Linked DNA regions of Rattus norvegicus. The protein of the gene in region 2 purifies or fractionates together with the protein of the main gene of each other region. This does not show direct contact. Links are inferred from orthologs where the notes say so. Each region holds a gene or a part of one and is shown on either strand. Other genes may lie near its edges. The genes, in order: Sdhb and Sdhaf1.

Evidence for each region.
Region 1: the proteins of Sdhaf1 (region 2) and Sdhb purify together in Homo sapiens (co-immunoprecipitation; 3 studies listed by BioGRID and IntAct, with this or other methods). This does not show direct contact. The link is inferred for Rattus norvegicus from reciprocal best matches to the Homo sapiens genes SDHAF1 and SDHB.

The regions. Positions count from the first base shown.
Region 1 is NC_086023.1:158,543,975-158,552,859, reverse strand, and holds the start of Sdhb (succinate dehydrogenase [ubiquinone] iron-sulfur subunit, mitochondrial precursor), read right to left. Parts: upstream 4,927-8,885; 5' UTR 4,907-4,926; coding exon 4,835-4,906; intron 1-4,834. UniProt on the Homo sapiens protein: Iron-sulfur protein (IP) subunit of the succinate dehydrogenase complex (mitochondrial respiratory chain complex II), responsible for transferring electrons from succinate to ubiquinone (coenzyme Q).
Region 2 is NC_086019.1:94,702,103-94,709,413, reverse strand, and holds Sdhaf1 (succinate dehydrogenase assembly factor 1, mitochondrial), read left to right. Parts: upstream 1-4,802; 5' UTR 4,803-4,828; coding exon 4,829-5,185; 3' UTR 5,186-5,752; downstream 5,753-7,311.

The DNA.
Region 1 (8,885 bases), on a different chromosome or scaffold from region 2:
GCTCAGTGGTTAAGAGGTTCTGAGTTCAGTTCCCAGCAGCCACACGGTGGCTCACAACCATCTGTAATGGGACCTGATGTCCCCCTCTTCTGGTGTGTCTGAAGACAGCTACAGTGTACTCATATACATAAAATAAATAAATATATCTTTAAAAAATATTTTTTAACCCCAACATGACAGCTGGGGTGGTGGTGTATCCCTTTAATCCCAGCACTTGGAGGGCAGGTGGATCTCTGACTTTGAGGCCAGCCTGGTCTACAGAGTGAGTTCCAGGACAGCCAGGGCTACACAGAGAAATCTGTCTCCAAAAAAACCGAACCAAACCAAAAACCCAATATGGTAACATTTTTAAAACAGGCACAGATCTGCGGATGATGCCACAGGGCTGTTCCAACACTTGGGAGGTGAAGGCAGGATCATGCAGTTGAGGCCAGAAAAGGCAGAGACTATGCTTTTAAAAAGAAAGCAGGGGTTGAGGATTTAGCTCAGTGGTAGAGTGCTTGCCTAGCAAGTGCAAGGCCCTGGGTTTGGTCCTCAGCTCCGGGAAAAAAAAAAAAGAAAAAAAAAAAAAAGAAAGAAAAAAGAAATTTGTTTAAAAAGAAAGCACTCCTCCCAAACCCAGTGAAAACTCATGATGAAGACTATCTGAGCACCAATTAGGGAACAAACAAGTTCTGCTCTGTTCTGCTGCATCTCAGCAACACAAAATCTCTGTCATGTGAGTCAGACAGCCAGGAACAATAACCCTGAGATGATGACCCTGAACCTGGACCTTCCTGCCTCTGCTCCCCCGTGCTACGTCAGCAGGGACGCCCCACAATGCCTGGTTTATGCGGGTACCGGGACGATACAAACATGCATCCTACGCCCTCTTCTGGACTCTTGAGATAATTTTAGATCACATATATCTGTAATAGTATTGAGATTCTTCCTGGATGAAAACATCTTACTATGCAGTTCAGGCTGGCCTTGAACATGCGGCAAATCTCTGATTTCTGCTCCTGAGTACCAAGACAATACTACATACCCAATTATGGCCCCATAGTATGGAAGACCAATTCAGCAGTACCCTCTGAGGGCAGGAAGAGCTCAGTTGACTCCTAGGCCTGCTGAAATGACAGGTTACCTGCAAAGGAGCTTCATCGTCTTTCTCCTATTTAAACATTTGTTTCTATAGAGACATTTGATCAGGCACACTTTTCAAAAGGGACTAGGGTCAGATTGAAATCAATCAAGGATATTTATTTACTTTGAGATGAGGCTCACATAGCCCAGGCTGGCCTCAAATTTATTATGTAGCCAAGAATTACCTTAAACAGCCAATTCTGCATCCACCTTCCATGGCTAGGAATCAGCTAGTCCTGTTGTTTTGAGACAAGGTCTTATATCCAGCCCTGGCTATCCTGGAACTTGCTAGTAGAGCAGACTGGCATCAAACTTACAGAGGTCTGATTACATGGCCTTATGAGTGCTGGAATTAAAGGTGTATACCACCACACCAGCCTATTTTTATTCTCGTGTATGCCGTGTGTGTGTGTGTGTGTGTGTGTGTGTGTGTGTGTGTGTGTGTGTCTGAGTATATGCCATGTGTGCAGGTGCCTGAGGTAGCCAGAAGATGGCACTGGATCTGCCAAAGTTGCAATTACAGCTGGCTGTGAGTGACGGGACATGGGAGCTGGGAACTGAACTCAGCAAGTGTTCTTGAGAGCTGAGCCATCTCTCCAAGCCTAGATTTGTGATTTTCAGAAAGATGGCAGGAATCACAGCATGCTTGTGTACCTTGCATAACCATGAGGGCAGAGAACAGCTATGAATCGGTGAGGGGACAATTAGCAGAGGGCCTTGGTGAACAAATGAGGAAAGACAGGATGGACATCAGGACACGTGGTATGCTGGCCCAAGGAGTCCTGTTAGCCTGCCCTGAACCCTGGTATTAGGAAGGAGAATGAGCAACCTCCTCTTGAGAAACCTGTGTACATTCATGGTCTTTCCCTCTCCCCTAATGTCTGTGCTTAAATCTATATTAAAACTTTTTTTTAAACAAAAATGCATTTGGATTGTGTGCATGGTGTCGGTGGCGAGGATGTGCTCATGTGGAGGGCAGAGGAACACTCTGAAGTAGGTTCCCTCCTTCTGCCTTCATGTGGGTTCTAGGGACAGGGCTCTGGTCATTAGATCTGACCAACACGCCTTTTCAGCCACCAAGCCATCTCCTCGGCTCTCAGAGCTTTTCCTAATAAACCCTTTGCTTTTAAAAAAAGGCCGCTCAGACAGGGAGATGGGCTGTAGTGTGAGACTTCCTTCCTCTCTCTCCCTCCCTGTCCAGCAACTTATATGCCAGGTTCCCCATGGGAGTGGAGACTGTGAACACATCTGGCCCTCGATCTATGACTCCAGTGACTGTGCCACGAAGGAAGAACGTCTCTAGATAATCCTGGAGAAGATGAACTTCCTCTATCTTCCGCAGGGGCAGGCCTGAAGCTAGACATATGACACGGCCACCAGGAAGGAAGGTGGGCAAAGGTAAGAAGGCAAAGCCAACCCTACAGACTCAAGGAAGGGGCAGGCTTGTATCTGAAGTGTGTTAGTGGGATCCAGCCCTGTTACCTTCAAGCTGCGAGTTCTTTAGAGAATCTCTTAACCAGTCTGATCCCACTTCCTCCAGTCTAATCTCACTTCCCCCTTTGCGAAGGGGAGGGTGGTATGGATACCCACTTCACAAGGAGCAGGCCAAACTACTGGCACAGCTCAGGAAATGATCTGTTCCCATGAGTTCACAGCAATCACAGGAGACTTGGAACCAGAACGGAAAGTCCACAGCAAGCTCAGGACGGGGCTTTTTGAGCACAAATATACCTTCCCACAGGGAGGAGGCCTCTCTTACTCTCACTACCCTAGAAAGGTGGGTAAGGGCCTCTCCTGAAATCCTAATGCTGACCTTTGAAACCAGTCTCTTCTTCACTTCGTTCTAGAATGCCCCGCCTGAGCCTGAGAACTCACTCCTTACAGTGAGGCTCTCATAACCTCACTGCTGCCTCTGCAATGTAGAAAGAGGACAGTAAACAAGGTCACCCGGAATTATTAACTGGATAACCTATCAGGAGGCTCCTCCCTCAAGAAAACTGATACACCCCCTTTGTGCGGTCACTGATTGCTGTAGCTTTTAAATTAGGGGTGGGGCCTGGTGAAATTTCTCCCATTCATGCTTGCATGAACTGGTGTCATTAGGATCCCATGTTCTCAGCCCTAAACACTTTATGCATAAGGAACACTAAATGCACTTAAAGAGATTGTGTACGTATATATTTAGCCATGCTAATTAAAGAAGTCATGAGTTTGAAAGGGAGGGAGCATGGGAGGAGAGAGGGGATTGGAAAAAATTTAAATACAGTAGTCATGCATGAAATTCTCAACAACCAAAACAGGATCATTAACTGAATACTTGGGACATCAGCCTGAGGCTCTGGTAGGCACTGTCTGTTTTTGTTGTTGAGACAGGGTCCCAAGTAGCCCAGGTTGGCCTTGCACTCCATATGGGGCTGAGGATGTCCTTACACTCCTGATCTCGCTGCCTCAGCCTCCCGAGTGCTGCTATGATAGGTGTGTATGCAGAGATGCACAGGTCCACACCTTTCATCTCAGCATTTACTCCCATGTGCTGAAGGAGGAGGATCTCTGAGTTCCAGGACAGCCAGGGTTGCATAAAGACACTGTCCAAAAAGCCAAAACCTAAGCAAAACAATAACACTGTCACAGGCTGGAGATTTGTCCTAGCAGTTTGGAAGGAGCAGAGTTCAGTTCTCTGCACTCGCATGGCGGCTGATAACCACCTGTAACTCCAGTTCCAGGAAATACGGCTCCCTCTTCTCCACAGGCACACGCATGGTGCCTATACATAACTCCTACGTACAAATGGAAACATCTAAACAAAACAAAACAAAACAAAAAACAACCCACAAAAGAACCTGCCCACGATCTACAGTTTACAAGAAAGGGGGGGGGGGCGCTCAGGTTTTAAGTCACTAAGAAAGTCTCTCTCGGAGTTCCTGTTGTCCACCTGTGAAGGACTGTCCAGGAGCCCAGAAGAGGACTGAATGGTATTTGTAAATCTTTAAGGAGAGGCAGTTTCTCTCGCCTTTCTAAGTGCTTCCACTGTGTACAGCTCCCGAGGATAGGGCGTGTGGGGAGACCTATGACAGAGCCACTACAGTAGTATTAACAAAAGCAGCTCCAGGCTCTGTCTGTCATCCCATGCCATCCGTATGAGATCAGTGCCGCTACACACCCTTGAATAAACACACTTCAGGGAACCGGGTCTTGCTTGCAAACTTCTACAGTCCGCATCTTTCAGGGGTTGGGTCGTTTTCTTCTATGTCTTCCTTTCCCTGCGGGTCAAGTGCATTGTCCTCCAGAGTTCAGCGGTCTCCGACATTACCGATGCAGAACAGCCTAATCTGGAGTTGCGACCTGGTCTCCCGGGACCCGTCCCAGACAACCCGCAGGCCTCCCTTTTACACAAGGTTGGTCGAGTGCAAATATCAGGATTTGATTCTGGGTTCCAACAACAGGTCGCCCATCATATGACCTTGACCAATTCGCTTGTCCTCCCTGACCTCTGCCTTTCCGTTATCTTTTCCAACCTCCTCCCGGCCGCGACTCTCCAGCTTGGGAGAAGCGCGGGTTGGCTATCTGAAAGGATGCTCAGGGGCAGGGAGCTGGTAAGTCCTCTCCTGAGGCCTGGACCCGGGCTCTTTCCGCTTCTCCGCGGACTCTCCACCCAGGCAGCCTCGGTGACCGGCACGGTTCCCCACTGAACTACGGCTCCGGGGCTCACCTGCAGGCCGACTCTGCCGAGAGCCGTAGCCGAAAAGCCGCGCTTCAAGGAGACCCCGACCACCGCCGCCATTTTGGCTCCTGACGTCAGCCCCACCCCTTACCCTCCGGCATCCCGTCGAACACCGCGGTGGGAAGCCGGCCTCTCCCCTTGAGGTCCGCTAGCAGCCTAAGAGCCAACGAGTGGAAGGCAGCTTCCGGTATCCCGAGTAAACGGACAGGAAGTGCGAGTGTGCCGTAGCGGCCAGTAGGGCGCATGCCCACTGGGCTTCCTATGTTCCTAAGGTGACCTCTGGAGTCGGAGCAGCGGGAAAGAGGGAAGGTAGCCTGGAGGGGTGGGGCAAAGGCCAGGAGGGGCGGGTCTTTCCTAGTTTGCTGAAGGCTGTGATTTTAATCCCTCTCTACTTGCAGTCGTGTCTGTCAATCACCTGTGACTCTTGTCTGATCAGTTTTGTGCTAGAGGACCCGTCAGTCCCTCTCTGAGCGAGACAGTTGGCGAGCGATTGAGGCGGTCACAAAAATGAATGTCAAAGGTGTCGCTCATTCATTTATTCATAAATATGTACGTAAGTTGCATGCCTGGAATCCCAGAAATTGGCATGTGGAGGCAGTAGGAGAATCAAGCTCATCCTTGGCTACTTAGTGAGGTGGAGGCTATCTGGGATACTTGAGGCTCTGTCTTAAAACACACAAAAACAAAACCAAAGCAATCAAAAAGGGCACCTGCTGTGTGGCTGGCGCCAGGCTCTGGGGTGCTGTGGTAAGTGAGTTAATGGCTCACATAATTCCTTTCTAACCTTGAGGAAGATGACAATAGGACAGAGGAGTAATGCAGCTTAGGCTGGACACCAAGGAGACAGAGGCTGTCCACTGTCTTGAACTTCAGATCTTCCCGTAGGTAAAGAACTGCCGAGAGCTGGGATTATAGCTGTGTGTCACCACGCCTGGTAGTACGTGCTGGACAACAAGCACTCTACCAACCCAGCTGTGTCCTCAGATTTTGCTTTGTCAGTTTTCTTAGTCACCTGAGCTGCTTAAAGAAGAAAAAAGGGGTTGGGGATTTAGCTCAGTGGTAGAGCGCTTGCCTAGGAAGCACAAGGCCCTGGGTTTGGTCCCCAGCTCCGAAAAAAAGAACCAAAAAAAAAAAAAAAAAAAAAAAAAGAAAAAAAAAGAAGAAGAAAAAAAGTCTTGTTCATTATATGAATATACTGTAGCTGCCTTCAGACACATCAGAACAGGGCCTGTTATAGATGGTTATGAGACACCATGTTGTTGCTGGGAACTGAACTCAGGACCTCTGGAAGAACAGTCAGTTCTCTTAACCAATGAGCCATCTCTCCAGTCCACCTGAGCTGCTTTTTTCTGGCACTTTTAATGGGTTCTCTCAGAGCCCTTCTGACTGGGGATTTGACCACTTTGGGCAGGTGTGATCTTGCTATCCCAAGTCACTTGATCTCTTGAGGTACCCAGTGACTTTGCTGGTCCCAATTACCAGAGGAATGAGTTTATTACTTTCCGCTCACCTTTGGCAGAGGGAGGGCACTGTTTATAGTCTTGGGTTTCCTCACTCCCATCATTTAGAAGCCACTGGAGAAATTACCATGACAGGAGGAATGGTTAGATGAGGCCAAGTTTCTGAGAACTCACCCTGATTCTGATTTCCCTGCCAGGTGGCCTCATTAAAAAGGGTGTGGGGAGTCCTGAACCCTTGGGGTTACCTAGATTGCTCCCCTCAAGGCCATGTGACCTTTGACAACTCTTTCATCACTTCTGACTTATGGTGTCCTTGCCTGAATCAGTAGGAGTTGTGCCAGCTGATTATGATTAGCATGGTTGTCTTGTGCAACAGATGGCAAGGTTACCTTGGCTTCTTAGGGGGCCTGGCTCAGGGCTGGGATAGTTTCTTCTAGGCTACCCAAGGGACCATTGGGGCCACCCAAGTGGGCCAAGGTTGTAGGAAGACTGTCATTTCTTTGTAACTCCTCCAGGCAGTATTTCTAGAGAACTGGTCTCTTTAGCCATTTTTTTAGCCACCATGTCAAAGGCAGACACCACCCCTACGCGAATGGCCACCCTTTTTTTTCCAGGTCACCTTGGAAAAAGCAGTCAGCAGCCAGCAAAAGTGAGACTTTGATTTACAGAGGGGCTCCTGGTGCCAGTAGGCCCACACACCCTGCCGTCACATCATTCCTGGGCTTCATGGGGATTTGGGAAGCTCAACGTTATGGAAGGATAATAAATTCCTGGGCTGCTCTACCTCCGCCCTAAGCTTTGGGGTGCCAGAAAGGCACAGAGGCCATAGGATTTAAAGGTCTGCATGGCCTCTTCTGGACTTAGATTGCCAAGGTGTCCGTGCCGTGAGACCGCAGGGTTGGGGTTGGTTTGTTGCCATCTGTGTAGACAGTGATCTATTGCTTTCATCAGACATGCCACTGGGCGCCCTGCGTTTATGGAGAGCCTCACCTCATCGTCCACAAATGTGTTGGCATCAACAGTCTCCCCTGGTCCTCCCAACAACCCTGATGGGTCGGAATAACTGTCCCCACTTGCAGACAGTCTTTGAGAACTGGGAAATCTGGGCAACCAGGGTGGGAATCCTGCTCGAGGAACTTTCTACTCCCCCAGGCCTAGGCACAGAGTCTGGGAGCAAAGACCAATACCAAGCTGGGCCCGACAGCTCAGATTGCCTTGGAAATACCCAACAGAGTTGTTAGTTACAGCGCAACCTCTGCGGTATAGTGAGAACCCCTCTCCCAGTCCTCCAAAGAGAAAACGGGGGGCCAAGAGGCGGTGGTGGCAGCACACTTTCAATCCCAGAACTTGGGAGGCAGAGGCAGGTGGATCTCAGATTTGAGGCTAGCCTGGTCTAAAGAGTGAGTTCCAGGGCAGCTAGGGTTATACAGAGAAACTCAGTCTTGAAAAGCCAAAAAAAAGTGTGTGTGTGTGTGTGTGTGTGTGTGTGTGTGTGTGTGTGATCCCAGATACAGATATATTCTCTCTCTCTCTCTCCCCACCTCTCTCTAAGGTTCTAATTCCCCTTGGAAGTAGAGCAGGCTTGTCCCACCAGCAGCCTGAGATGTTCATATTTCTACTCCTACCACCACCACTACCATCCATCAAAGTCCATGGCCACTCTAGCCTCCACTTAAATCTGTCCATCTTCTTCTCTGTCCACCCTCTTCTCTGTCCACCCCTCTTCTCTGTGCAGTTCCATAACTTGGACCTGCAATGTCCTAGCTTCCTATACCTATTTATCTATTGACAAGGGCTCTTCATGTAGCCCAGGCTGGCCCAGAATTCTTAATCCTCCCACGTGCTGGGGTTGTAGGTGTGGGCCACCTACCCGCTTTTTCCTCCTCTACAGCCCTTTGCAAAAATTCAGATCCAACTTTCTCCCTTTCTAGAAAACAACCACTCTCAACAAAATATCCTCTGCTCGGGTCATCAGTACAACTTAGACTTGGTTTGAGGATATCCTGCTTTCCTGTCTTTAGGCCCAACTGGGGACATTTCAATAGAGCGGGGCATCCTCACTGAATTTATTGTTGTCTGCAAATCTGTTTTGAATTCATTCTTTCTATCTGTTTGGTTTTGTTGGGGGTGGGGGTGGTTTTCTGAATTCTTCACAGCTGTGTTGATTGCAGGGAACTTCTGGGCCAAGGTGAAGATTTGTCTCTTGTTCAGGGTCATATCCAGAGCCTGCTCAGGGGCCTGCAGCACAGCAGGTGGCTAAGAAACACTCAGCAGGCGAACAAAGTGCCTGGCTTAGGATGCAGCACACAGTAGGTACACAGTCAGGTGGGTCAGCCGGATGGAGGGATGGGGAGTAAGGAAGGTGAGCTGGTTTCTTGTCGCAGCGAGAGGAGAGATTGGGGGGGGGGGTTTGGAGCCGTGTAGAGACTCAGGCGGGCACCGTGGTGACTACTCGAGGACCAGGACAAAGAGTGTTTTTAAAGCTCATATCGAAGGGGCTGGAGAGACCACTCAGCAGTTCCCAGCACTTACCTGGTGGCTCACAACAATCTATAATTCCAAGTCTAGGGGGCCTGATG
Region 2 (7,311 bases):
CTGCACTGGTGTACCCATCCGCAGTGGTGTACCCATCTGCGCTGGTGTACCCATCTGCACTGGTGTACCCATCTGTGCTGGTGTACCCATCTGCGCTGGTGTACCCATCTGCGCTGGTGTACCCATCTGCACTGGTGTACCCATCCGCAGTGGTGTACCCATCTGCACTGGTGTACCCATCTGTGCTGGTGTACCCATCTGCGCTGGTGTACCCATCCGCAGTGGTGTACCCATCTGCGCTGGTGTACCCATCTGTGCTGGTGTACCCATCCGCAGTGGTGTACCCATCTGCGCTGGTGTACCCATCTGCGCTGGTGTACCCATCTGCGCTGGTGTACCCATCTGCGCTGGTGTACCCATCCGCAGTGGTGTACCCATCTGCGCTGGTGTACCCATCTGCGCTGGTGTACCCATCTGCGCTGGTGTACCCATCTGCGCTGGTGTACCCATCTGCGCTGGTGTACCCATCTGCGCTGGTGTACCCACCTGCGCTGGTGTACCCATCTGTGCTGATGTACCCACCTGTGCTGGTGTACCCACCTGTGCTGGTGTACCCATCTGTGCTGGTGTACCCACCTGTGCTGGTGTACCCACCTGTGCTGGTGTACCCACCTGTGCTGGTGTACCCACCTGTGCTGGTGTACCCATCTGCGCTGGTGTACCCATCTGTGCTGGTGTACCCACCTGTGCTGGTGTACCCATCTGTGCTGGTGTACCCATCTGTGCTGGTGTACCCATCTGTGCTGGTGTACGCATCTGTGCTGGTGTACCCATCTGTGCTGGTGTACCCATCTGTGCTGGTGTACACTTCGCTTTGCCCCTTCAGAATCTTTGTGCTGTTCAGTTTTGAGGCAGAGTCTTGCTATGTATCTAGGCTGGAATAACAGGTACAGCACCATAAACTAGTTTTACTCAATGTCGGGGATCAAACCCAGGGTTTCATACATCTCCAGCCCTGTAGAGCATAAATCACAGAAAACAAATAATTAAACATTAAAGTATGCAGAGTTGTGCCTGGCATAAAGTAAGTGTTCAGTAAACAACTTAGATAGAAAAAATAATAAAACAGGGTTTGAGGGTTTTGGGTTTTTGTTTTGTTTTGTTTTTCAAGACAGGGTTTCCCTGGCTGACCTTGAACTTATTCTGTAGACCAGGCTAGCCTTGAACTCAGAGATCTGCCTGCCTCTGCCTCCCAGGTGCTGGGATTAAAGGTGTGCACCACCAGGTAAAACAGGTTATGGCCTCAGCAAGACCACATTAAGACATAGATAAGAGAGATGAGACAGATCACTGAGTACAGACACACACACACACACACACACACACACATACACACACACCACCACCACCAAGGCTTCTTATAGGAACATATATAAAATGTAATAAGGACTGTGGCCCAGTTGTTAGCATAACTTTTAGGCTCAGCACCAGTTACTGGGCAACAGCCAGGTATGCCTGACTGGTTATAAAAGGGGCTGCTTGCCCCCTCCTCACTCTCTTCTCTTGCTCTCTTCCTCTCTTTCCCCTCTGCCTCTTCTATCCCCATTCCCCTCCCTACCCCCCTCCCCACCCCACCCACCCCCACATGCTCTTGTGGCTGGTACCTCAGGGGGAAGTGATCCCTCAGCATGGGCCCACAAAGGCACTCCTTTACCCCTTCCCCCACCATACCGCACCTCCACCAAACATATACGTGGCTTCTTTTATAAAACAGAACACCAGCGACTTAGCTCACCTACACAAGGAGAGACATAGAAGTGCACTGGGCAGAGGACTTTGATCCCTCATTCCTTGTCCTAAGAAACTCAAGGTGGGCAGGGTCCATTACCCTCCCACCCCCACTCCCAGTCCCCACCCCGAATGTAATTAGAATGACACTTCACAGCCTAGAGGACTGATACCCTGGGGAGGCTTGAAGACTGCCAGTCTAGGCCAAGAGTTCGTAAGGACTTTCCCATGGTTGCAACATGGCAAGGCCCTGCACCTTTCACAAAGGGAGGAAACTGGAGAGATGGCTCAGCAGTTAGGAGGACTTGCTGTCCTTCCAGAGGACCTGAGTTCAAGTCTCAGTATTGGGTAATAATAGTCTCAGGTCATTAGAATTGAATCAGGCTGTGTGGGGCAATAGCCCTGCGCTGGCCCCAACGGAAGTCGAACAGTCTGTGTGGGGAGTGAGGACGAGTCTGGGAGAGAGAGAAAGAGGATGCAAAGACAAGAGATAGATTTGGGAGGACTGCCAGCCGATACTGCAGCAGCCTCCAGTTTCTTTTTTATAGCCTTTTTATACCTCGCAGTACTGTGGGAAGCAAAGCCACAAGCTAATAGAAACAACTGCTGAAATATACACAGGACATCTGTTCCCATCCAAAGGCCTCCATGTTCCTTCCACCAAGGTCAACAGAATCTTCAGCCCTGAGCCTTGAGCTCCAAGTGTACGTCCTCTTATCATCCCATACCTCAGCAGGCCAGGAAATCTGCCAACAGACCCTGACCCACCCTGACTCTGCTTGGCAGGCCGACTTCTCTTTCTCTCCCTCCCTCCCTCCCTCCTTCCCTCGATCTTCTCCCTTCCTCTCTTCCTCCTCCTCCTCCTCCTCTTCTTCTTCCCCTCCCTCCCCACTCCACCTCTCTTTGCTTCAGAGAAGCAGGCAAAGGGCTCCTGACACAGCCTTTAGCCATAAAAGATGGCTCAGCCCCAGTCTTCTGTTCCAACTGCAGAAACAATATGCCTGGGTATTGAAAAACAACCCACTCTGCTCTCAGCCAAATTACAAAAGATCCCTGTAAGTTCCTCGTGGCTACCTATATATGTGTGTGCACATAAACATGTCCCCCATCGCCATTAAATGCACCCAACCTTCATCCCACAGAAATGTTTCAATGAAGCTATCGCAGCCTACTGAAATGGAGTCGGTCCACCGCTGCCTTGTTTCTCCTACACTCAGCACCCATTAGATTCACAATGGGTGAAGCCTGTAGACTTCATGGGCTCTGACCCTCTCCTCTGGCCTGTCCAATGTGTTCACATACATACATGCTGGAGAGAGGGCTGAGTGGTTGAGAGCACTGACTGCTCTTCCAGAGGACCTGGGTTCATTCCAAGCACCCATACCATGTTGGCTCACTACAAGCTGTAACTCCATCTCTCTCTCTCTCTGTCCTTCTCTCTCTCTCTCTCTCTCTCTCTCTCTCTCTCTCTCCCCCTCTCTCTCCCCATTCCCTCTCCTCTCCCCTTCTTTCTCTTCTATTTAGTGAAGGGGGTAGAATGGAGGGCAGGGATAAAGGGTGGGATAAAGAAAAACCCATGGGGCTGGGGATTTAGCTCAGTGGTAGAGCGCTTACCTAGGAAGCGCAAGGCCCGGGGTTCCGTCCCCAGCTCCAAAAAAAAGAACCAAAAAAAAAAAAAAAAAAAAAAAAGAAAGAAAAAGAAAAACCCACAAAGTAACAGAGACTGGCTACATTTAAAAGCTGAACTTTCGGGGGTTGGGGATTTAGCTCAGTGGTAGAGCGCTTGCCTAGCAAGCATAAGGCCCTGGGTTCGGTCCCCAGCTCCGAAAAAAAGAAAAAAAGAAAAAAAAAAAAAAGAAAAAAGCTGAACTTTCTGTCAGCTCCAAGGGAAACTCCAATTCCCCCAATTCCAAAGGGCAGTCCAAATATCCAGAAATGAGCTCACCCTGGACTGCAGGAGGATTTCTGGTGGTGAAACAAAGCCAGCACAGCTCAGGAACTTGAGAAACTTGGCATCCTTTCCCTCACCTCTAGAAGGGATGTATAGCTACATGTGGGGCCTGTCAATAAAACAAAGAGCCTGCAGCCTTATCTCCTGCTATTTGTTAAGGGTTAAACCTGACAACGGTTCTGCCATATTGCCTCAACCTTCATTTTGTGGCTCATGACCTTAACCTGACCTAATGTTCCCTGACCATAACATCATGTTGTCGGTTAGAGCCTCCCTGGAGACCTCTGGGGATTTCCTAGCCTTCCTGCCTCTAGACCCAGCCAATGAGCTTAAAGGTCAGACAGTGCTGCTCTGTCAAGAGAGCCAAATGCATCTGTTCAGGGGTTTCCCCCATATAAAAACTGGCCCTGAGAACTGCCTGAGGTCTGCATGCCTGATTAATCAGTCTTGGAATGTGTGCTCAATAAACCGTCTCGATACCCTACTGACACTGGTGTCACCCAGTGATTTGTGTGGTTAATCCTGAACCCCAACACTATTTTCTCCTCTCTCACAGACAGCTCTGGCTATGTCCAATCTACTTCCTCTGTCTATTCTGGACTCTTCTAGATGTCTCTGGCTGTCCTCTCTCTCATATCTACAACAAACAATTCAACAAACAGCTTTCCCTTAACCATACCATGGAGTGGTCATGTCGTCAGTTTATGCACTTTCCAGCCCCCCAAACAGTAAAAATCTTTTTAAAAACTGCTTGTCTCTTCCCAATATCCCTATGCCCCCTGGTTATTCCCGGATTCGAACTCTTCGCTCCCAGTCCTCCCAGGACTCAGAACTATCTCCTCCTATTCTCTTCTAACATCTAACCGCTTAGGCTCTGCCCCCTGCTTCAACTCAAGTTCAGAAACAACCAGGACTGTAGGCCACTCAAAGACTACCCTTTAGGGTGAACCGGAGCACTAGAGACCCGGTCCACTTCCAGGGCCGCCACGACGTACTGCAGTACTAGCCAATCGGATGCGGCGGCACCGGTTAGCAGGAGGCGGGACTTCTGGCGGACGTGACTGTGGCCCTGCCCGTTAGCTTCTCAGCACTGTCTGTCGGGGCGGTCCTTCCGGTAGGGTCCGGGCGACTGACCGCGACGCAGCGGTCATGAGCCGGCTTAGCCGGCTGCAGAGGCAAGTTCTGAGCCTGTACCGCGAACTGCTGCGCGCCGGGCGCGGGAAGCCGGGCGCCGAGGCACGGGTGCGGGCCGAGTTCCGGCAGCACGCCAGCCTTCCGCGCTCCGACGTGCTGCGTATCGAGTATCTGTATCGCCGGGGACGGCGCCAGCTACAGCTGCTGCGTTCCGGCCACGCCACGGCCATGGGTACTTTCGTGCGCCCGCGGGGCCCTACTGAAGAACCCGTCGACGCGACAGCCCCGGGGAACAGGCTGGACGATAGTGATGCCCTAAAGAATCCTTGTGAAGGCACGGGAGCACGGGAAACGCGATCCGATGGACGGTGACAGACCCAGAGAAAGGTTCCTTTTGACAGTTTGGGAGGAAGATCGGGAACTCATCCAAATGGAAGCTGAGATGTCTTAAGAGACAACGGAATTTTCTCGATGCATGGTGAGAGGTCAGACACTCCCTCACCAAGGAGGTTCCGGGCATCCGGTGGCACCGGCTGGCTGAACAATGTATGCTGGGATTCACCAACCCAAAGTCAAAGAGAGCACAGACTCACGTTCTCCTCCCCTCGGGGCGTGACACCTCTCTTGACTTCTAAGAACACATACACCTCCCCACTCCCTGCCTTTTGCTGTTTTTAATGCCGAGAAAACGGCCTTTTTGCCGTGCATGTTTAATGGAACACCCTGATGAACCATGAGAAGCTTCGCGGTCCGGTTTGGAAAACCACTGCCCGACTTGTTGTGAAGAACCAGGATTGTAAGGGAGGTTACAGTAACTCACCCCAGCTGATGAGCCTGAGACTTCTGGAGAATCCCTAGCCCCTATTCTTGTCAGTCTTCCTCAGGATTCTTGTATAAAGGGAATAAATGTGAGGTGTGCTTTCTTCCTTGTTGTCTTAATAATCTTGTTGATTCTTTCATTAGGGGCCTTTGCTTTTTCTTTTGAGACAGGGTCTTGTTAGAATATAACCTCGGCTGCTCTCAGCGTCAGCTCCTTCTGCCTCAGCCTCTGAACTCCAAGATTATTGGCACGTACTGCCATGCCAAGGTTGGAGAGGCAGGCGGGAACAAAAGGGAGGAAAATGGAACCCCAGCTGAGGCTTGGTGTGTGACATAAAGAGCCTGTGACACTGTTTTCATATGGCTTTTATCTCACTTTGTTACATCACTCCCACCCTCCTGCCATAGGATGTTAGCTCTCTGCTCATCTCTCAGCTTCGGTTTTATTTAGCAAGGTGATCTTGGTTGGGTAGTTTTTGTTGTTTTTAAGACATGGACTCACTTAACCCAGGCCGGCCTCAATCTGGTCATGTAAGGGATAATGGCTTGCAACTCCTCCGTTCACCTCCAGATTACAGGCTCATTCTACCACAACACATGCTAATCTGTGTTTGCTCTGTTTATGGCCTTGTGCTTGCTGAGCAAGTGAGATAACCACTGGGATTCTCTTCCAACCCCAAGGTGACCCTGTTGATCTTGGTGCCATCTCAACTCCAGGTCTGAAAGTGACTACTGAAGTCCTACCCAACCTGTACCCTTGACATATCCCAGTCTCCTGTCTCATCTCCTGGCCCCAAGGGCCTGAGCTACATAGAGCAACCTTGTCTCTAAAAGGAAGGAAAGGGGGCCAGAGAGAAGGTTCAGTGGAAAAGGGAGCTTGGTGACAGGCCTGACTAGCTGAGTTTAAATCCCAGGGAACACACAGGAGATGAGAAAGAACTATGGCAATCTATGTCCATCTGCCTGTGTGCACACAGATATGTAGGTAGGTAGATAAGTGGGTAGGTAGAGATAGATGTATTTAGGAAGACAGACCATGATGACAGATTCCCTGATATACCCCTTAGCTACTGGTTTGCATTATCTTAATGTGGGCTTTCCTAGAAGCTACTGTTCCCCAGGCCTCTTCAGTACCCGATTTTGCATTTCCAGTAGCCATTCCATCTACTTTGAAGACACACTCCCTTCCCCATGGTTAGCCCCCATGATTCCAGCAGACCTGACTGGCCCCTCCTGAAGGCAGAACACACGGCCTAAACCAGTTGAGCCCTCCTGGGGACTCTTAAGTATGGAAGTTTAAAGGGAGAGCTATCCTGTTGACTATAAATTGATAGACACTCTAGCCACTAGGGAATGGACAAAGACAAAATGGGTGGGTGGGGTGGGAGGGCAGAAACAAAGACATCATTAGGATTTAGTTGTGCCAGAAGTCCTGAATGTCTGTTACCACACAAACTCCTGTTCCCATTAAGTCAGGGATCACTTGGCCTTAGTCACTCGCTCTTGGGTGGCCTCGGCCCTGACCTCTCTTGGCACCTGGCTACAGTGGGGCCTTGTGGCAATTCAAGGAGGCGTACATTCTTTCTGTGTGCAGCTTGGAGGCCAGCACAGGGAGGAGGAGCTGTGTTCAATGAGCATGGGCTAGCACCCGGCTCTGCTTTGTTCTTGTATTTGTGTTA